2 linked regions of the Notamacropus eugenii genome follow. The protein of the gene in region 1 interacts with the protein of each later gene in a pairwise test. Links are inferred from orthologs where the notes say so. Each region holds a gene or a part of one and is shown in the gene's direction. Other genes may lie near its edges.

The links. The genes of interacting proteins can lie anywhere in the genome.
Region 2: the proteins of ZNF277 (region 1) and GNGT1 interact in a two-hybrid assay, tested with the Homo sapiens proteins (3 studies listed by BioGRID and IntAct). The two-hybrid records come from large-scale screens. The link is inferred for Notamacropus eugenii from reciprocal best matches to the Homo sapiens genes ZNF277 and GNGT1.

Annotation. Positions count from the first base shown.
Region 1 is NC_092874.1:141,834,955-141,845,595, reverse strand, and holds the start of ZNF277 (zinc finger protein 277), read left to right. Parts: upstream 1-5,369; 5' UTR 5,370-5,561; coding exon 5,562-5,640; intron 5,641-10,641. Other genes in the region: DOCK4 (dedicator of cytokinesis protein 4), read right to left, coding at 4,859-4,895. UniProt on the Homo sapiens protein: Probable transcription factor. Involved in modulation of cellular senescence; represses transcription of the tumor suppressor gene INK4A/ARF, perhaps acting via the Polycomb group (PcG) complex PRC1.
Region 2 is NC_092874.1:489,373,971-489,384,539, forward strand, and holds GNGT1 (guanine nucleotide-binding protein G(T) subunit gamma-T1), read left to right. Parts: upstream 1-5,204; 5' UTR 5,205-5,297; coding exon 5,298-5,393; intron 5,394-9,768; coding exon 9,769-9,897; 3' UTR 9,898-9,983; downstream 9,984-10,569. UniProt on the Homo sapiens protein: Guanine nucleotide-binding proteins (G proteins) are involved as a modulator or transducer in various transmembrane signaling systems.

The DNA of each region.
Region 1 (10,641 bases):
TTAAGCCAAAACATCTCTAGAAAATGATAACTTATATTTATATAGTGTTTAAGAGTTTATACAGTATTTTCACTTCAACAATCCTATGAAGTCATCATCCTCTTTTTACAGTTGGGAAAATGGAGCTTCCTAGGGAATAAGTGATTTGTCCAAGGTCACACACTTTCCACACAGCTGTTCAAAACTGATCTTCTAACTTTAAGTCTTATGCTCTTTGTATGATACCATACTTTTCCTCTTCCTGAAAAATATAGGCAGGTACTTTTTTAAGACTGCGTAAGTTTACGAAGTCCTCAAGAGCAGATACCCCATCTAATTAAAATTTTATCTCCTCCGATACCCAGAACATATAGTCCATAATTTTAGTGAATTCTCTATGTTGCTTACTTCCAATTTCTTCTGTATATAGTTTGTACATAGTTCTTCGTATGTCATCTCCCTCAGTAGATTCTGAGCTCCTTGAGGACAAGAATGGTCTTTTGTCTTTTTTTTTGTATTATAGCTATCCCCTGACTGACCTAACAAATATTTGTCAGATTAATGAATGACTAGTAATAATATTAATGTTGATCTCGACAACAGTACAATAGTAGAGGTAATACTAAGTAGATCCTTCACATACAAGATTATACTATTAACTAGAGTTAGTATGTATAACATGCATTCAGAGTTGTTTTACCTGTTATGTTAATGGCTTTGCACTGATTCATCCCTAATCCTTTGCCCAGCCAAGGGTGTACATTTATGAACTAGATAGCTGACAAAGTTAGAAGTGCTGTCTATGGTTATGGAACATAAAAAAATAACTAATCCACATAGGGATATTAGAGACAATAAAATAACTCATCTGTATATAGTGTTTTAGGATTATAAAGTATTTTTATCTGTTATCTCACTTGAGCCTCACAAAAGCACTGTGAGGTAGACTGGGCAAATTTTATTCACATTTTACAGGTGAAGAAATTTCAGCTCAGAAAGATTAAAAATAAGTTGCCCTAGAGCACAGAGCTAGTTTAATGGGAGAGCCTTCTTTAAGCACAAGTCCCTTCATTTGTAGTTCAGGCCTCTTTTCTATGCTGCATGCCAGAATGTCTCTTCATTGTAGGCACCACACAACTATCTGCTGAAGGAATCTTGGAGCAGTTACGCCTTCAATGCTCTGAACTATTTCTGTGGGCAATCCCCACTTACACAGAGAAGGAAGGTGACCTCTTTATCTTTGTAAAATTATTCAGTCTGCAGGAAATCAGAAAACATTTTGGGGGCGGGGGGAATCTGCTTTACTCACCATCAGAGGAACTCCTCTTGAAAGGATCAGACAGACTGTGAAAGTGAGCAACTGCCACCTGGATCCTAGCAGTCCCTCCAAGAAACCGGGTGGCTTTTGCTTAGCTCTTCATCTTGTTTAAAAATCATTTTTGGCATGCCATGGAAAAAGTATATACCACACAGCAAGCTTTGCTCTTCTTTCTAAAGGGTACATGTGATTAGTAGCTTTAAAACTGTAAAGCTACCGCTTATGGGAATGTAAATCATCACGTAGTCTGACTCCTTCATTTTACAGGTAAAGAGACTGAGGCCCAACAAAGTTACTGACTTGTGCCTAAAGACACAAAGCAAGTCAATGGTAAATTCAGAACTGGAACCCTGGTCTCTGGCATTTGAGTCCAATGCCTCTTTTCTACTCTGCTAATTGATGGAGTCAATAACCAGAATTGTTCAACTTAAAAAAAAAATCCTCATTTCATCATGAACAACTTTTTTTAATCACACTAAAAAGAAAAGAGTTATATTATGCTCAGAAATTTAGTTTGATTCTTATCTTTCATAATTTTCCAATTTTAGACAATTCAGGCCCATGACAAAACATAGATGGTTTTGACATAAAGGTGGGTTATCACTTAAACACTATAGGCTATTCTATTGCCCAGGTGAGAGAATTTACATTTTCAAACCACTTTGAAATATATATATGTAATATATATACACACACATACATATATGTACATCTACATATACACACATGTACATGTATACATATACTATTTATTATAAAAGAAAATGAAGAATATGCATTATATTTGTGAAATGTTAACACAGATATATTAAAGACACAAATATTTTCTCTGTGGACACACACGGATCACTACAGATTTTTTAAAAAGTCCCACAGTAAAAGTGGTAGATTTTCAGAGGTATCTGAACACTTCAGGTTGGAAAGGATCAATTTATTTCAATTACTGATGAAACTGAACTGAACCAAGAATTGCAAATCTTTGATAACCACAAAATACTCTTCCCTGGTATTCATAAGAACTACAGAAAACACACACATTTATATCAAGGGTAAAAGGGAGGAGGAGGAGAAGAAGCCTTGAAGCACTAACAGCCACAAATAGTTCTCTCCATGGTGAAGAAAGAAGCTCCGCATGCAGGAGTATCCTAGCAAATTTTTCTCAGTACTCCAAAAAATTCTAACAGATGGATGGTGAACAACTAAGCAACCACAAGCCAAATGCTTGAAAAATAATAAAAAAAAATATTATTAGCCCTCAAAGGTTTGCAGTATAAATGACAAAGGGAAGCAATAATTCTGGCAAGAAATACTCATCTTTCCACTCTCCCCCTTCCTTTGCCACCTTTTCCCACTCAGATAAGTGGCCTCCAAATCACAACTACCACCACACAAATCTGAGTGATTTTGCTGCAGCTTGAAATACTTCACTGATAATATCCTGTTTGCTACTCCAGCAAACCCTAGAGTGGTTTATCAGACCCTGCCCACAGCAGTAAAGAAAAGAGACTAGGGGAGCTAATCGATACTAGCAACCCAGCTGTGACCTGGCACATAGAAAAATAAAAGAAAATGAATCCCATCGATAATCTCTATAATTTAACACTTGGAAGAAAGCAACATCTGGGATCAACTCCAAATGGGACGGGGTTGCCCTGAATGGGTCTTGGCTTCTTGCACTAATTGTTAAACCCGGTGCAATGAGATGATACTGAGATGATACCCTCTTCCTCAAGCTCAGAAACAAAGACAAACTCTTTAGGCTTCTACCTAAATATGGAAAAAATATAAAAGCGACCAAGGAAAAGAAGGAAGCTGGAAAGAATGGCTGTCAAACATACTCCAAACACATCTAGAAGAAACTATTGTCTTGCTAACCACTCAACACAGAACGAAGGCTTTTAGTAGGTCAAGCAAAAGATGAGCTGACTTTGTTTAATCACTTCACGAAGTCAGTTCAGAGGACTCCACGGTCTCTCCTCCAGGCAAAATTGGGGAGAGAGGGTCCCCTGTGAAAATGACTCCCACAAACAGCACTTTGATCTTCCTTTTTTAATTGCAGGAAACGAATGAGATGGGAAGAAAGCAGATTTTCCACAGTATCCACATCTACAGAGATTTGCCCTTTTCAAAAGCACTGCCTAGCGGCAGTAGATGGCAGATAAGAAATAAGGGGATAATAGATAAATTCTATAAATGTTCTGATCTCAGAGAGACCTTTAGGGCCGTGGTTAGCCCGTTCGTGTTTCAGGACCTTCACTGAAAGCCCCATTTCTTTCTTTTCTTTTTTTTAAGGCAAATCCTGAAAACCCAGAAAGAGGGGAGGGGGATGGGGAGAAGGGAAGAACCCAGTTTAATTCAAACAAGAACGGGAACTCTAGTCCGTATTAAATGGGAGGAGGGAGAGGAAGGGAGAATCCAGCGTTCATCAGTCAACATTAATGTCCTTTGTTGTTCACCTTTGCACAGAGGAGCGAGTGTTACACTGTTTTCCTTTTTCTCAAAACGCCAAAGTCAGACAGGTCTTTCCTTAAAACGTACCCTCCTGCCTCCGTCTGACCCACGGCTATCCCTAGCTCACTCCCCAGAACTGAAAATGCACTTTCCAACTGACCCCCCACCAAAAAAACCCCACCCCACGCCCGGCTCCCCGCAGTGACCCCAGGATCGGACCGGACGCAGTAGCCAGAAGTGGAAACATAACCAAGTCCTCGTTCCTTTTCAAATGACAAGGAAAGGGAGCAATTCAACGGAAATTCACAGAGAAACTCCCCCAACCCTCAAAAACACTTAATACAAAATACAAACAAAAATGTGCGGGGGGGGGGGGGTGGAGAGGAGAAGGGCGTTGGGGAAGGAAATAGAACGGGCTCAGTCTCCTGTCAGAATTGTCCTTTGTAGATTATTGCACATTTTGCACTCTGGGGATGTTCATGCGAGCCAGAAGGAAGGGTTTGCCTTCCCTTTCTGGTTTTGTTGGTTTCGGGTTTTTTCCCCCTCCCCTTCCTCTCTTCTCTGTCCCCAACCCTCCTCCCGGGAAATCTCTGCAGCTGATTGTCGTTTCAAATCCCGGGGTTTGGGGGGGAAGGGACGAAGGGGAAGACTAGGAAAGGGGCTCGCCCTTTCCCTTGCAACTTGACACACACATGCACCCATCTCCACTTCCAAACTCCAAAGACGGAGATGAGAGTCGGCAACGCAGAACTAAGGGATCCGTTCCCTTTGCATCGGCGGCTGATCGCTAGCCAGCGGATCTGAAAGCGGAGGGTGGTAGAGAAGGGGGTGGGTGCGTAGGGTTTCGTTGGGGCGGGCGCGAGCCCCCAATCCAGCGAGTTGGGGGGGGCAAGGATGTGTGTATCTCTCTCCGCTTTGAGATGATCTGCATAGCACAGCACCGTATCAAGGCAAAAGAGGGAAACAAACGGGGGACTATATTATGCCCCAACTATCCATTTCCAGCCTCACCTAAATATAGGGGGCAAATAACAAGAGCAGAAAAGAAGAGAAAGAGGAAAATTGCAAGCCCAGGAGAGAGAATAAAAGTTCGCCCGGAGAAAGACTCACCTACGCCGTATTTCTCGTGCTCTGTAGGTATCCACATGGCTGAAGGAAGATTCTGTTGTCCCTCTCTCACACCTCCTCTCAGGAGCTCAAAACAATAAACCAGAAGCCAGAGTAGCAGCAGCAGCGAAAGGGCTAAAGGCAGCTCAGCGCTCTCAGTCCTTGGGCAAGAGGGAGAAGGGTCAGGACTGGAGCCTGCCCAAGCGCTGACAGTGCGCGGGCTGTGCTCCGACTGATGCTAAGGCTGCTCGGGCTGCTGGAGCTGGGGCCGCTGCTGCACCTCTCCGCAGCTTCCTCAGACGCGCTCCCGGGGATTCAGACGCGCAGGCATTGTTCTGATTCACTGAACTAAGCGAACACGCCGGGGCACTCTCGGGCGCACCGCCCCCACTGCTTTCCTCCACTCCACTCCCCCCCTCTTCCCTCCTCCCTCCTCTGCACTCCCCGATGCATGGTGGGAAGTGTAGTTTTCCACCTCACTCCAGAGAAGGGACAGGACACCCTAGCGATTGGGGTGGGGCTTATGGAGGTCCCTCCCATTCTCCCTTGTTCGGTTCTGCTGAATAAGAGCTGTTGGTGGCTACGTTGGGGAGTGGAGGAAAGGCTGAAGTTGGGGGTGGGGTGAGGTGAGGTGTAAACTGAGTCCTAGGTTCTCATTGGAACTAGACCCCACCTCCTCATTTCTCTCCCCCACTCTCCCAGCGGAATGGCTTCTCTTGGGATTGAGGGGGCTGCAGCTGGAGAAGATGGTGCTGGCGGCAGCAGCAGCAAATTCAGTGATGCAGGTGAGTTTGGTGGCCCCCTTGAAGCAGGGCCCTTGGTGCCAGTGGCATTAGTTTTCTTTCCTGCTTTCTATTCCAGTCGTCCCTGCTGCAACACAAACCCTCAAGTCAAACTGACTTGTAGGAGCTAGCCAGAGTCTTAAAGGCTGAGCTTTCTGCAGCCACGTGTGCCCTGGGAATGGCGCTGTGAACCCGGGGAGGGCAGGAGGCGGAGGCGCATATTTGGCAGCTGTTTGCCTTAGAGCGGGTGGAGAAAGGAGGAGGAAATGCCACCTCCCCTCCCCGAGCTGTTAGGGAACCCTCTCTTGGTTCTTCCCTTCCGGTTCTGAAGTAGCTCCCCACTTGAGCTCCTACCCGTTCAATCGGTTTCGGTTGGGTGGATTGATTTGGGGGCGTGTATGTATGGCATTGCAAATTAGCAAGTCTTTCCACCTCCATTTCCTCAGCTTAGACTCTTTTGGGCTTTGTTTGGCATCAAGAAACTTGTTTTATGTGCGTCTTGCGTCTTCCAGGTATGAAATGTTCGTTCCTGGACATTTGTGTAGCGGTATCTTACAGTTTTCTTCCGCACTGGAGGAAGGCTGTGTCCGCTGACCTCTCTGGGATCTCTGCCAAAGTCTCCTTGAGGGTAGAATACTGTTGCTGGAACTCTTGTCAGGGAACCGAGGACATGAAGGAAGGGAAGAGGAGGAGAGAGCTTGCACTCAGCTTCAGAGACGATTCAGAGGTCTCTGGACTTTTCAGTAACACTCTTTTGGGTTGCGTTTTGGCCATCACAGTTACTTTTACCAGTCTATGGGTTTGGGTTCTCTGGAGGACTTTTGTATGGTGTCAGAAATAAGAAACTAAACTTTGAGGGAGGAGCACCCTGGGTCAGAAACTAAATTTGGGGGAGGAGCCTCTTTGGTGAGCAACCAACTTTGGGGGAGGAGCCTCCAGGATGTGTCTTTTCTGGGATTTTAGGTGCAGGATCATAAGGAAGCTCAGCCTCCTCGTTTTACTGATGGAGAAACAACAATCACAAAAATAGGAGCGGGGAGAGAGTTAAATTACTTTCCCGGGGGTGCACAAGTAGTGAGTGACCGCTCCAGTTCTGCCTTCTGCCCACCCGTCTCAGATTGCTTTCCTACTTCCCGGATTCTTCCTCCTTTCCCCTGAAGGAAAAGAGGGCCTCCGGGCAAAGAATGCAGAGAGCTGTAATAGTGATTTGGAAGTTGCCATTTCAGGAGGGGAAAAAAGTTATTTTTGCCCTAGATAAGGTTTGATACACCTTTGCTGAAGGCTTTTTTGTTTTGTTTTTTGCTTTTACAGTTAATAATTGTGTGGTCAAAAACTGAGTCTCATCACCACAAAGTTAAAAGTGCTGTTACCAGCCACTTCTATTATCAAAATTCCCTAACCCTGAAATTATTTTTTAAAAGTACCTCTGTCAGTGCTATATATCTTAAACTGGCTGCTGAGTCAAATGTTTATCCACCTCCACATCCTAGACAGTTAATTATTGAGTTATTTGGTATTCATTTTGGTGGACCAAGTGCTTGACCCAACTCTCATTTGGGGGAAACATATAATTAAAGTTCTCTAGATGCTAGCATCTCAAGAAGGTTATTTAAGACCCAGAGATGTCACATTTAGAATTGTCAACAAGCTGACTGTTGAAGAGAAAATGATTCCTAAACTTTCACATTTGTTTCTACAAGAGGTTCTTAAAATGGAAATGGACCAAAATGAGAAAGCTGAATGGAAAAGTGACTCTCAGTTTTTTGTTTTAATGCCATTAGAAATTCCTGAAATCAGCATTAAAGGAGGGGACAGTGTAATCTAATGAAGGACTACCAAAAGATGGACTTGAAACCATTCGCTGAAGACAGTTTACAAAATTACAGGAAATGGCTTCCTAGCTCAGACCAGCCGTTATCTCTCTTGGAATGGACAAAGGGATGTTATAAAGAGAAGCCACCGTGGAGTGCATAGAATGCTGGACTTAGAATCAGGAAAACCTGAAAGGCATTTATTCTGTGACTCTAACTAGTCATTTAACCTCTTAGCCACAGTTTCTTCATCTATGAAATAGGAACAATAATTACTAGCTTAAAGGCTGTTGTGGGGTCAGATGAGATAATATGTGTAAACAAGGCACAAATCTTATTACATCATAAATGTCACATTTATATTAGTTGACTTTCATAACATCGCAGCACACATTTAGCATTCTACCCCCAAACTCCCCTTTAGTAACCCATTCATAACATTACATAAAATTTTTCCAGACTACTTCAAAACTGTAAATTACTATAAAATTTAAAAGAGCATTGTTATCAAACACATTTCTATTTTTCATCAGTAAAAACTCAGCCTAATAAAACATGCATTTTTTGTTTTTTGCCTGTTGTGTATTGTAGTATTCCCACTGAATTGATCTAAAACAACTCCTTCAAGATATGCCTTCTAATTCTAAAGTAGCATGCAATAATGGAAAGAATACTGAATCTGGGAACCAGAAAGCCTTGCTTTGAGCTCTGGCTCCACCTCTTACTAACTTCGTGACCTGGAGTAACTTAGTCAATAAACATTTATTAAGCACCTACTAAGTGCCAGATGTTCTATTAAACCCTGGGGCCGCAAAGAAAAGCAAAAGACAATCTTTGCCCTCTAGGAGCTCATAATCTATTAGGGACAACATTATGCGAGCAACTATGTACAAGCAAGTAAATTATGGGGAACTGCTCTGAGACTCCATTTAATTATCTGTAAAAAAAAAGATAATATTTGCACTTACCTACTGTGCATAAAGCAGTTTTAAAGCTATGAAGTGCTATAAAAGTCTAGGCTAGTACTTGTAAGATTTTCTAGGCCTAGCCTAATATCTTAGTATGAGACCCATTCCTATGCAATGGGGAGTTATGCTCAGGGATGGAGGACCTGTCACTATTGCCCAGATTCCTTCTTTGATATATTTGGTGTCGGATTTTGGAACAGTACAGCACAACACTGGAGATTCACCTACCAGAGACATCTTGGGGAAACATGGAGATGTCACATCTGCCCCAGGATGCCTCTACCAGAGGTTCAGCAGCCAGTCATACAGAATGGAACTTGAGGAAAGCTGGCAGAAATACCAGAGGTGTTCTTGCAAGCTTCCCCCTAGCCACACCTGAGCATTCACTCACTCCCACGAAAAGCACTTGAAATTAGCCTTCTATACCAGGTGCTTCTCCCAGACTCCTTTGCAGGAGAGGGCCCTAGCTTGCTCAGGCATTTGTTCCTAGCGCCTGGTATAGGTGCAGGTGGTAGGGGAGGGACTCTCTCAGCAGTATCGCCAGTCCTAATGAGAAGTCTGATGAAAACTCTTGCTTTCTGAGAAACTCTAGGACTACAAGGATCCCAGAAATTTCTCATATCACCATCTACTACTTCAGCGAGAATTTATGAGTGCAGTTCTATTTTCTACGTGCCTATCATGTGTGAGACACTATGTTAGGTGGCTAGGACCAGATTAGACCTCAGAGATCTAAACTCCATAGAAACCACACAGGTCTTGCCTTGCTCTTAAGGAGGTTAGGGACTAAGGACTAGATGAGGACACATGTACACAAACAATTATGATACAAGCAAGAGAAATTGTGAGTAAGGTTTTGGCAAGATGCTGCAAGGACAGGGTGATCATTCTTGTGACGGGGAGGTCAGAGAAGATCCCACAGGTAATAATGATGATGCTAGCAGATAGTTATATAGCATTGAGTTTTAAAGAGGGATTTATGTTCCTTCTCATCCAATCTTGCAACAACTTTGTTAGGTAGGTGTTGCTCTGATCCCTACTTTAGAGATGAGGAAAAAAGTTTAGCAAGGGTAAGTGACTTACCCAAGGTCACACAGTTAGTGACTCAGGCATTGGTATCTTTTGACCTCCAGTTTAGTATTCTTTGGGTAGTGAACATAGTACTGATGGTACTTGAAAAGGGCAGAGGCTCTGTCAGTTTTGAATTTGCTTCCTCAGCTCCTAGGCCAGTGCCTGACACATAGTAAGCTATTAATAACTGCATGGTGATTTATTGAAGTCAGAAGACTCACCTTCCATCCAGCTTTTCTCGCTTACATGCTAGCTATGTGGTCCTGGCAAGTCCATTTCTTTCTCATTGCCCGGATTTCTTCATCTATGAAATGAGGGGGTTAGAGGAATGATTTCTGATATCTCTGCTAATTTAACATTTTGTGGTTGATTACTGGGTGAGGTCATACCAAATCATCATCATCATCCCCTCCTGTGCATATGGACAACAACCAGGAAGTCTCCATGCCCTTTGAAATCTAGTCTGGAGCACTGGATTTTAAGAGAGGAGGCATAGTCTCCAGTACCAACTTTACTACCAGACAGGTCTGTGACTTAGTCTTCATTGTTGCCTCAATTTCTCCTTTTGTAATTACAGGATAACACCACTTGCTTTCTTCATCCATCTCATAATAGATAATGGAGCCCAAATAAGATAAGAGGTCTCCAGAGTAAGAGTGCTATCTATCTAAGATATTATGATTCTTATCTGGTTGACATGTAGGAAAAAAGTCATCTTAGTCTGTCTCTTAGAAAAAACAGATCTATGCTGATATTGCTAGAAAAGAAAATGCCCCAATCTTTAAAAAACATCCTAAAGGCGTCACAACACCAACAGTGTCAATTAATACCATCCAGACTTGTTATCTTGCCGCCTTCTTCCTCAGAGTTGCAGAAGGCAAGCTTTTCAGGAAAACCAGAAAAACAAGATTACAGGCACATAAGAGGCAACACAAGTTGGTGGGTTAACCAGGGAGAGAGAATGAATTTCTTATTTCAGTACCCTGGTTAAAAGGAGATACTATTTTAGGAAGAGTCAAACTTCCCTCTACCTCAGTGAATAAGCTTTGTAGAAGAATATGTTAAGGCTGACCTGTCCAGTATTCAGTCTCTGGCAATGTCCTGCCATACTTGTCCTTGAGGGCCCTGTGTCATCATCTTTGGGGCTGTTTCCA
Region 2 (10,569 bases), about 350 Mb from region 1:
AGTTTCCCCCACTTTGATTTCAGAATCCCAGAGGAAGAGTTGACGTCTTTCTTGGTCAGAGCCATTCCTCTCCTCGTACCCTTGACCCTGCCTGCTGCTGCCTCTGCTGGCAGTGTTGCTCTTTAATCATCCTGTCTCTCTCATCTTCAAATTCTTTTTATACTATTCCTTTCCTGATACCTTCAAACATGCCCAGGTCTCCTCGTCCTTAAGAAACATCCCTTGGACTTGCCACCCCCGCAGCATGTCACGTAGCCTCCCTTTCACATCCCAATCCCTACGCAAAAAGCTCTCTACTTTCTCTGTCTCTTCTTGGTCTTTCATTCACTTCTCAAGCCTTTGCAATATGTGTCCTAACCCAACTACTGACTGAAATAGTGCTTTCTAAGATGACCAACAGTTTCCTTTTATGAAGGCTCATTTTATTAATTTGTTTATTATTAAAATAAAGTTTTGTTGATATTATTTGATTTTTTACATCACAAAGATTTATCTCAGTATACCGTCTTCATTCCCTCTCAAGTCATCCTCTATAACAATTTTTTAAAGAAAAAAAACAAAAAAGAGGAAGAAGAGACCCCCCCCCAAATCAGTACAACCAATCAATACATTAAAAACACATGCTATGTGAGCTGTTCTTCATTCTCCAAGAGGACCAATGATTTTGAGGGGTGATGTATCGACTTGAGAGTGAATTGGATTTAAGATGGGAAGAAGATCTGCAAAATTGTCTGTTTCACTCTCTCCTCCAGAGTCATCAAAGTCCAGTGGCAAGAAAAAAGTCAGGACTGGACATGGCCCAGGATGTCATGGGTGACCTTTGCCTTTCTAAATTAAGGTCATTTCCCAGTCCTGAGTTTGTCTGAGGCAACATCCATTCAATGACTAAGGGTTAGGTAAGAATTGCGACAGAAGATGGTGAAATTTGCCATCACAAAATATCATTCTGGGAGTGGACGCCCCTCATAGTTTTTGGCCAGAACAAAAATCAATTGCTATTTCCACTCATGCTGGGTCATTGAAACCCAAACAACGTGCAAGAGAGGCTTGAGCTAGGGGCGACTGTCAGCCATTCAATGAAAGCCAAAGTGGTTTGAGGTTAAAGCGTAGCATATTCAGTGCACTTCTGAGTTGGACCTGCCACCAGCACAGGGTGAACAATGTCTTCTCATGACTCTTCTTTCAGATCAGGCTCATTCTTCCTCATTTTGCAAATTTGCTCTTGGTTGTTTTATCTTTCCACTTCCAGTGTTGTTGTCACTGTGTAGACTGTCCTCTTGGCTCTGCTCCCTTCCCTCTGCATTAGCTTATGCAGAACTTTCCAGCCTTCTCTATATTCATCACACGTTACTTCGTATAACATATATTCCATTACACTCATACACCACAGTTTATTTAGCCATTCCCTAAACGATGGGCATCTATTTTGCTTCTGATTCTTTACAACCACAAAAGAGTTCTGCTATAAAAATTTTGGCATAAATGGGGGCTTTCTTTTTATTGATGACTTCCTTGGGGACTTAACCCTAATAGTGGAATATTTGAATCAAAGGGTACAAACATTTTAACTGCTATATTTCCATATTTAAAAATTACTTTACAAAGTGGTTGTACTGATTCTCAGCTCCACTAACAATGTACTAGTGTGCTTATCTTGCCACAACCTCTCTAACCTTGATTATTCCTATCTTTTGTCATCTTTACCAATTTGTAGGGTATAAGGTGAAACTTCAGACTTGTTTTCATTTGCATTTCTCTATTATTAGGGATTTGGAACACTATTTCCTCTGGTTATTAGTACTTTCTAATTCTTTTGAAAATGATTTGTTTATGTCCTTTGAACACTTATGAATTAGAGGATGACTTTTGGTTTCACATGCATATGTATAACAACTAACATACATACACATAAAATGTAGCATATTATATATGCATATATGTGTATGCATATGTATACACATATACACATATACATGTATAAACATATGTATATTATATATATGTAATATACATACATACAGAAATTTACCTAGGCAAGAAGACCCTATTTGACTAGGAAAACTGGAAAATATTCTGATAGAAATTAAGCTCAGACTAACACTTTCTATCTCACTCCACAATTCATTCTAGGTGGATATGGGACCTTAATATTAAATATCAGACTATAAAGAGAAAAGAAGCAGGGAATGTTTTTTGCCTCTTTGTATTCCCAGGACTTAGGAACAAGCATTTATCAAACACCTATGCTATGCTAGTTACTTTAAAATACTATCTCATTTAATCCTCACGACAACCCTGGGAAGCTGTTATTATTCCAATTTAAGTTGAGGAAACTGATACAGACAGAGGTGAAGTGGCTTGCCCAGGCTTACACAGTTGATAAATGTCTGAGGCTAGATTTGAACTTAGGTCCTCCTGACTCCAGAGCCAGCTCTAGTCGCTGATCCCTCAACTGTCTCTTAGCAGCATTTGTCACCTAATAAGCACTTAGTGAATGTTGGTTAGCTTGACTTCTCCATCTTCATGCTATCTCTCCCACAGCACCAATGAGCAAGACTAAGAAGCACCTACTGTGTTCCAGGAACTTTTCTTGGTACTGGGTCCATGAGGAAAAAGTCGGTCTTTGTCCACAAGGAGTGTGCAGTCTCAGGGGAGAGACAACATATGTGCTTATTATACTATGCAGAATATATTCACATTACATATAAAATCCTTTCAGGATTATTTGGCATTAACAGCTAAAGTTGTTACAAAGGGCTGCAAGTGGTGCTTGCAGTGACATCCTGCATCATGTGATCAGAGAACAGGAAGTGGGTGCAGGAGATGCTGGGGTGAGCCAATTGACTCGAAGTTCTAGTGAGGATTGTCCTAGGCTCTTTTTCCTTTGTTGAATTTTTTTTTCCACTGAGGAATTTCTAAACTGCTTGGTGGGGAAGGCTGGGGCATTGTGTAGGTTGTCCCATGGAATATTTGAACCTGAGGTCTCCGGGACTTGTGAAGGGAAAACAAAGCCTGAAGGAGGCAACATTTACATCCTGTTATTGAGTGCTGACAAGAAGGCCATGGTACAGAAAGTAGAGTGAAGTCTGGAGGAGAGTGAGACCTGGAAGGCCTAGTTGTTGTTGTTCAGTCACTTCAGTTGTGCCCAACTCTTTGTGACTTCGTTGGGGTTTTCTTGGAAGATACTGGAATAGTTTGCCATTTCCTTCTCTAGCTCATTGTACAAATGAGGAAACTGAGGCAAACAGGGTTACACAACTAGTAAGTGTCTGAAGTTGAATTTAAACTCAGGTCCTCCTGATCCCAGGTCTGGTGAATGGAGGATGGAGTAGAGTGGGGAGAGACTTGGGACAGGGAGACCCATCAGTAGCTATTGCAATATTCTAGATGGGAGGGGATGATGGCCTGGATCAGAGCAGGGGCAGGGTCAGAGGAGAGAAGGAGGCATATAGGAGAAATGCTTCAAAGGTGAGAAGTTGCAGAGGTGAAATAAACCAGAAATGTTGTGGAGGTGAAATCAGCAAGAGATGCTGCAGAGGTGAAATCAACAGGTCTTGGCAATAAATTGTATATGGGAGGTGAGAATGAGAAATCAAAGATGGCACTTTGGTTGCAAACTTGGGTGACTGGGAAGAAGGTGGTATTCTTGATAGAAACAGGGAAATTAGGAAGAGACTAGGGTTTGGGGGGAGGTGGAAATCATTCACTTTTGGACCTGTTGAGTTTAAGATGTCTACAAGACATCCAGTTCAAGATGTCTGGAAGGCAGTTGGAGATTTGAGACTGGTGGTCAGCAGAGAGGTTAGAGCTGAATAAGAAGACCTGTGAATCAGTACAGAGATAATTAAATCCTTGGGAGCTGATGAGATCCTTGAGAGAAGTATGGAGGGAGAAAAGAAGAGGGGCTAGGGTAGAGCCTTTAGGGACCCACACTGCTATTGGGTAAGAACTGGGGGGAAGAGCCAGCAAAGGGAACTGAGGAACTATTGCACAGGAAGGAGGAGAACCAGGACAGCCCTGTCTCAAAAACCTAGAGAAAAGAGTTTCAAGGAGGAGAGAGGGATTATTGGCGGGGTCACAGGCTGCTGAGGTCAGATGGTCAGGTAAAGATTAAGAAAAGGCAACGTAGGAAGATGCAGCATGGGGTGGGGTGGGGGCACCCATCAATTTTTTTATCCTTGGTTAGAAACTTAGGAATATTTAGGGAGGAGATCCCCTTGTTTTGTTCTCCTTGCCAAGAAACTGAAATAGGTCAATTTGAAACAGGAAGCAACTCGAGGAAGGATTGCCAGGGAAACTCTCTACCCCTTTTGCACCCAGGTGGACTCCAGGTGGAGCAGAGCTAGGTGGAAGGAGGGAGGGGGTGTCACTGGCCTCCTCCAGTCCTCTCTGGCTCAGTGATGCCTGGGGCTCAATTCTCAGCTAACGGTCTGGAGGGCCCTTTGCCCTCTCTCCAGGATTTGATGACAGGCATCCTCCTTCCTCTTACAGTTCACAGTGACCTCTTCCATCTTCAGTCCACCAGTGCAAGGTCAGGGGCAGGCTCTGGGGGGTTTAAAGTATGCCTGGTAAAAGCCACCTACCATTTAACCCTAGTAGGGCAGGACTCTGAGTCCCTTGCTCTGTGGTTTGACCCCCTGGTTGGAGGAGAGCCTACAGGAATCAGGCCTGGATAAATCAACATGGCAGAACTTGTTGGCACATCTCTCCTCTTTCTCTCCCAGGCTCTGATCATTTTTTGGCAGATCATTTCCTGGAGCTACTTCCTCTCAGGATGTGGCTTGGTCCCTGCTGGGCAATATATGCTCCTCCTTGGCTGTGTTTTTATTCCAGGGCTCTTGGCTCTAGTCCAGACTTCAGAATGACTCTCACCTCTTCTTGGGGCCCCTGTAATACTGGATTAATCACATCAGCACTTTAATGGATTAGTGCTCAGTTTCCCCAATGACCTCAAAAAGGAGGAGAAAGCATGTGAAGCATCCTACAAATACTTAAAGAAAATACAATTTCGCTTAGAAGGAAAACCACAGTGGACTGTGGAGAGACCCCCTCTATCTTCAGTCCACATTGTAGACTCAGTGACCCCAGCCTCCCCGAGGGCTAAACCCTGAGCTTAATCACATTAGCAGAGCTTATGTCAAGGTCCTTTAAAACCCTGGGACTGGGCAGTCAAGCAGGAGAGGGGCAGGAGCCAGGCCTGACAAGTTGGTCAGGGAAGGGCAGACTCTGAAGCAGACCAAGCCCTTGGCAGAAGTGTAGAAGTCCGGCTCTGGTGGGAGGGTCAGCCCAGGGACAAGATGCCAGTGATCAATATCGAAGACCTGACAGAGAAGGACAAGCTGAAGATGGAAGTGGACCAGCTGAAGAAAGAGGTGACGCTAGAAAGGATGGTGGTAAGTGGCCACTTTGGGAAGGCCTGGGGCCAGGACAGGGGAGGTTCCTGGGGAGGTAGAGCCTGGCCAATTCAGACTTGAAAAGATATGACATTGGGGGAGACCATTGGTGGGAACAGGGAGGAGACTCCCAGGCCAGGCCAGCAGTGCCCTTTGCCCACATGGGTGCCTGACCCTGACCAGGCCCAGTCCCAGGAGGCTGTAAAGCTGCTCTCCTCTACAGGGAGCTGCTTGGTCAGAGATGTCAGAGTCAGAACAGAGGAATGCACTAGGGCCCCAGAGTGGAGGCTGGGTCTGAAGCCTTACCTTTATCACCCAAACAATGAGGTTGTCCCCAAATTCTTTATCTGTCTGCCAGGCTGCTGGGCCCAACAATCCCCACAAAAGAACAGATAAATGTTCTGAAATGCTCACAGTTGGACGGGGGGAAGTTGAGGTCTACTGCCACTCTCCTCCTCTCCCCACCTCAATCTTTTTGTCCTAACCTGCAAAATGGGCTCATCCCAGCCACTGACTGTAGTGAGGGGTCTTGGATAGCTGCCCTTAGCGCCCAATGGAGGTCTTCCTTACTCAGAGCCTGACTCTCTACCCACGATGCTTTACCTTGACCTTTGGACCTCATATGGCCTCTGAAAACACTGCAGTTGGAGCATTTCTCCCCAAACCCTCCACATCACAGGGATAGCATGGCTATACTGCATGCTGAGGGGCATCTTCATTGCCAGACACTCATCTGTCTTCCTGAAGGTTCCCTGCCCAAGTGGAGGATGGGAAGGTGAGGGAAGAGGAGGGATGGGAAGGAAGGAACCTTTGGTCCCATTCTGTTTGGGGGGGGTCCGTCTTGCTGTCCTTTGAGCTAGGGATGCACAAAGTGTCTGCCACCAGGCTTCCAGGCCTGAACTGCAGCACCAATCAATAACCATTGATGAGTGTCCAACTGGTGCTGGGGGTGCAAAGACAAAGGAGAAATAGTTCCTGGTCTCAAGCATTTACACCCTACAGGGAAGACACACACAGAGGGATCCAGGTGTTGGTACAAACTATCCATGGGGGAAGCTGTTAGCCCCCAAGAAGTGCCCTAGGGTTGGGAGCACTGGGGATGTCTGGAAGGAAGCCAGAAACTGGTTCCCTGGTCAGGGGGAGAGGTAAGGAGTGTCCAATGCAAGGTGATGAAGGGCTTAACAAGCCCAACGGAAGAGGCTTTTTTTTGCTCCCAGGGGTAGTAGGGAGTCATGGGAGGCGACTGAGCTGGGACTGGTGTGGTCAGACTTTGTCAGTTGTGGAAGATGCATGGGAGAACACAGAGGCTTCTGTCCTCCATCTTTTGAGTGTTGCTAGAACCCTGGGCCAGACATCTGGTCCGTACATCATATGCTTGTAGAGTCTCTCTCGTTGCCTATAGTTCTTATGGTTTGGTGTCTCTGTCTCCAGTGACTCAAGGAACAGACGTGCTTCACCAAACCTGGACTAAGAGCAGGTCAAGAACCCGGCCCAAAAGTCAGGTGGCTTGGGTTTGTTAGCCTGCCTTCGACCTCTGGCCCCGTAGGGAAGTAGGCCATTTCCCATCTTCTAGGTCATTGGAGAGGAAAAGTAGACTCTCTTTGGGTTCATTTCTGTTCAATTCAACTCCACAAACACTTGACAGACCAGGACCTCCTCCAGGGTGGGGTGGGGTCCACCTAGGCCCACTTCATACCCTTTCACTGCCTGTTCTCATCCCAGATCTCCTGTAAATCCTCCACTGGGGCCTCTTTCCAGTCTCTGTGAGTTAAACATTTTGTAAGTGCCTCCTCTGCACCAGGCAGTATACTAAGCACTAAGTTCTGGCCTTCTCTGGGGGTGCCAGTATCTGGCATAGTGTGTTCTCTCTCTCACCCACTGTGACAGTCCCTGGGTGACCCCCCCTTCTGGTCATGCTTGTTCTCTAGTGTCTCCCACATGAGAGGCTTCCTCAGTGACCCAAAGCTGGGCCTTGCTCCCTCTACCTGTCTGCCCATCCCCTCTTTGTCACCTTACGTATGCCCACTGTCATAGTGAGAAGGGACGGAATGCTTCTTTGGCAGTTTAGGCCAGCTCTCCCTAGGACCAGAAGCAGCGATGTGCCCTCCATCCTCTCTGCGAGTCGTGGTCCAGGGTTGAGGGCAGATAGGGATTTTTCTGTAGCAGGAGAGAGATAAAAGGCTGTGCCATCTAGAGACAATGAGACAAAGCTTCAAGGGCATCCACACACTGGAGCCCCTCAGCACTGCATGCCTGGACTGTGGCAGTCACTGCTGGCCTTCAGCCTGCTCACACCTCTCCCTGCTCTGGTCCACTCTCCACCTGCTGTCCAATGGATCCTCCTAAAGGATAGGTCTGCCCATGTCACCCTTACCCCACAAACTCCAGGGGCTCTCTAGCCCTCCAGGAGGAAATACAAAATACTCCACTTGGTGTCCAAAGCCCTTCTTAACCAGCCACTTCCTCCCTTTGCAGTCTGACACCTCACTCCCCTCCAAGTACTCTGTGCTCCAGTGGCCCTGGTCTCCTGGCTGTGTCCTGCCTCTGGTTGAAGCCCCACCCCCATTACAAAGACTCACAAAAGCAGCGGAGCCCAGTAGAATAGGGCCAAAGACTTTTTTCAGCCCCTTAGAGAAGGTCAGTCCCCCCTCCTTTCCCAGTCCCTCTATGGGCATAGACTGAGTTCACCCCAGCTCACCACCTTCCCATGATGAGGCACTGTAAGAGATGTGAGGAGAGAGCTGGAATTCAGTGATCTCCAGATACAAGCAGTTCATAGACAAGTCTCAAGGTTAAGAAATAGCCTAATGTTGAAGACCTTGCTGGCCACAAGCCACTGGAGGGGTGGGGGGGAGGAGGGACTGGGAGTGGGGGTGGGGGAGGAGGGGTGAGTCCTAGTGGCAGGGGATTGCCCAGGTTTATGCTCTGTGACTTCTAACACTGATGCTGCCAGGTCATCTGGAAAGACTGCCCTGGAGTGAGGCTGGGGTCGGCGACTCGATGCCCATGGGTCCCTGGGGTGTTAGGGTTACCACTGTACCTTGTACTTTATCCTGTTCTGAAGCCTCTGGGTGGGTGAGGACCCAATGCCATCTTGTCTCTTGTTCTGTACCTTCTAGCCCCACATCTGGAGGTCCCTGAGCTTATGGAACAAATACTTCTCTGGCCTTTCCTTCCCCTCTCCCTCCCAGAGGCAGAGGGTGAACCACTCAGGGAAGATAGCTGCAATAAACTGAGTGGGATTAGGAGTGGAATGCAGGTCCTTTGGATCAGTCATGTGGATTCCCTGTTCATAGCCCATACCACTTTCAGAGCCAGCTTGGACAAAGCAGTCATCCTTCCCTTCTCTCCCTTGTATTCTAGGGATTGATCATCAAGCAGAAAGGATACTCTGCTTTGTTAAGGGGAACACAGGACTCCTGGTTTGGGGGATGGACCTGGTTGTGAAGCAAGCTCCTTGTCCCCACTGCTCTCAAAGCCCCTGGTGCAGAAGGAGAGGGAAAAGCAGTAGTGTCTTCACATACCCTGGGAAGTCTGAGGCCTGGCCCCTCAGGGCTGGGCAGAGCTGCCACCCCCAGGCCCCTTCTCACAGCTACCACATCCCTCATTCGACCATTGCTCATGGCCCAAGATAGAGAGTCTTCATTGGGGCCCATGCAACTCCCCAAGGAAGGGCTCCTCCATTTTTGTCTTTGTCCCCATGGCATCTGGCACGTCATAGGCACTTGGGTTCTGTGGGCATTTAAGACCACCTCCCTTCTGAATGCTTCACAGCACTTCATTCATATCTTCCACATTATTCTCAAGACTGCTACTCACAGCAATGGACACAGACTGCTCTGCACACACAGAAATCACAACAGCCCCTCTGTGAGGCAGGTACTTTCCTGCTACCTTGGCTGCTCCCTGAGCTCAGCTCTCCCTCCTCATCCCCCACCCCTTATAATCTCTCAAGACTCAGGGGCTGCCTCCAAAGGATGCTTTTCCTAACCACCCAGTCATGACTGCATCCCTTTTCTCAGCTTATCTCATGGTTTTTTTGCCCCCAAGCCCAATGTCAGTCCCTAGAAGTTAAGGGTTGGTTTTATCTCTGTCTGCCAACCCAGTGCCTAGCAAGGCACCAAATTAATAGATACCCTGGAAGGGCGAGGACTGGACTTGGTCCCAGCAGGGCCCTCATCACTTAACATTAGGGAGAGCATCCAGGCTGAAGCCTCACAGAGGGTCCAAGACTCTAAGAAAGCTGGGGGAAGGAAGGGAAGATTTAGGAGCCAGCCATACTTCCAGTGTGGTCTGCCTTTGGGGATGTTCTGCACCTTAGACTAATGGCATCCATCTGTCAGCAGCTCTTCTCCCACTCTTTCTTTTTTCAAAGGTTTCAAAATGTTGTGAAGAGGTGAGAGACTACATCGAGGAGAGGTCTGGAGAGGACCCCCTTGTGAAGGGAATCCCCGAGGACAAAAACCCCTTCAAGGAACTCAAGGGAGGCTGCATCATTTCCTGAAAGTCCTGGTGCATCAAGGACTGTGGAACGACCAAGATGCTTTAAAATTAGTTTTAAATCCCTTTGTTCTAATGGACCAGAATGAAAGGATCCACTACCAAAACTCCAAGGCCTCCCATTGCCATTCCCATGGGAATTGGGGCAGACACCCCCACCCCCAAGAGGATGCCATTTGAAGCTCTGGAGGAGATGCAGACCCTTGGTGGCCAGCTGAGGGCTGCTATTCCCTACCTCCCCCACACACTCTCAGAATTCACTTTTAATAAAGATTGGAAACTGGTTCATTGAAGTGGCTGGTCTTTGTCTCTGTCTTTCTCAGGCTTGTCTTGGACTCAGTGAACATTGTGGGTTGTTTGGTGATCATCAGTATCTTTCATTAATACTTTCACTCTGGAATCCCCAAGGAGGACCCCCACTCTCCCCATGCCACCTCATCTAGTCTTCTCCTACATCTGAGGAATTCTCTCTCATTGTTGCAAAAACAATCCCCATGACCTCCCCAGGGATCTGGCATGAGCCCAGGTGCTGGTATCCAGCTAATGAGCAGTTTTCAGTTGACTTGTTTCTTATTCCACACTCAGACAATTCTGTCTAGCAAACCAATCACTGTGGGCTTCATCTGCCCCTCCATCAGTCTCAGCTCCTCCAGAGTTGGCTCCAGAGCCAGTCAGC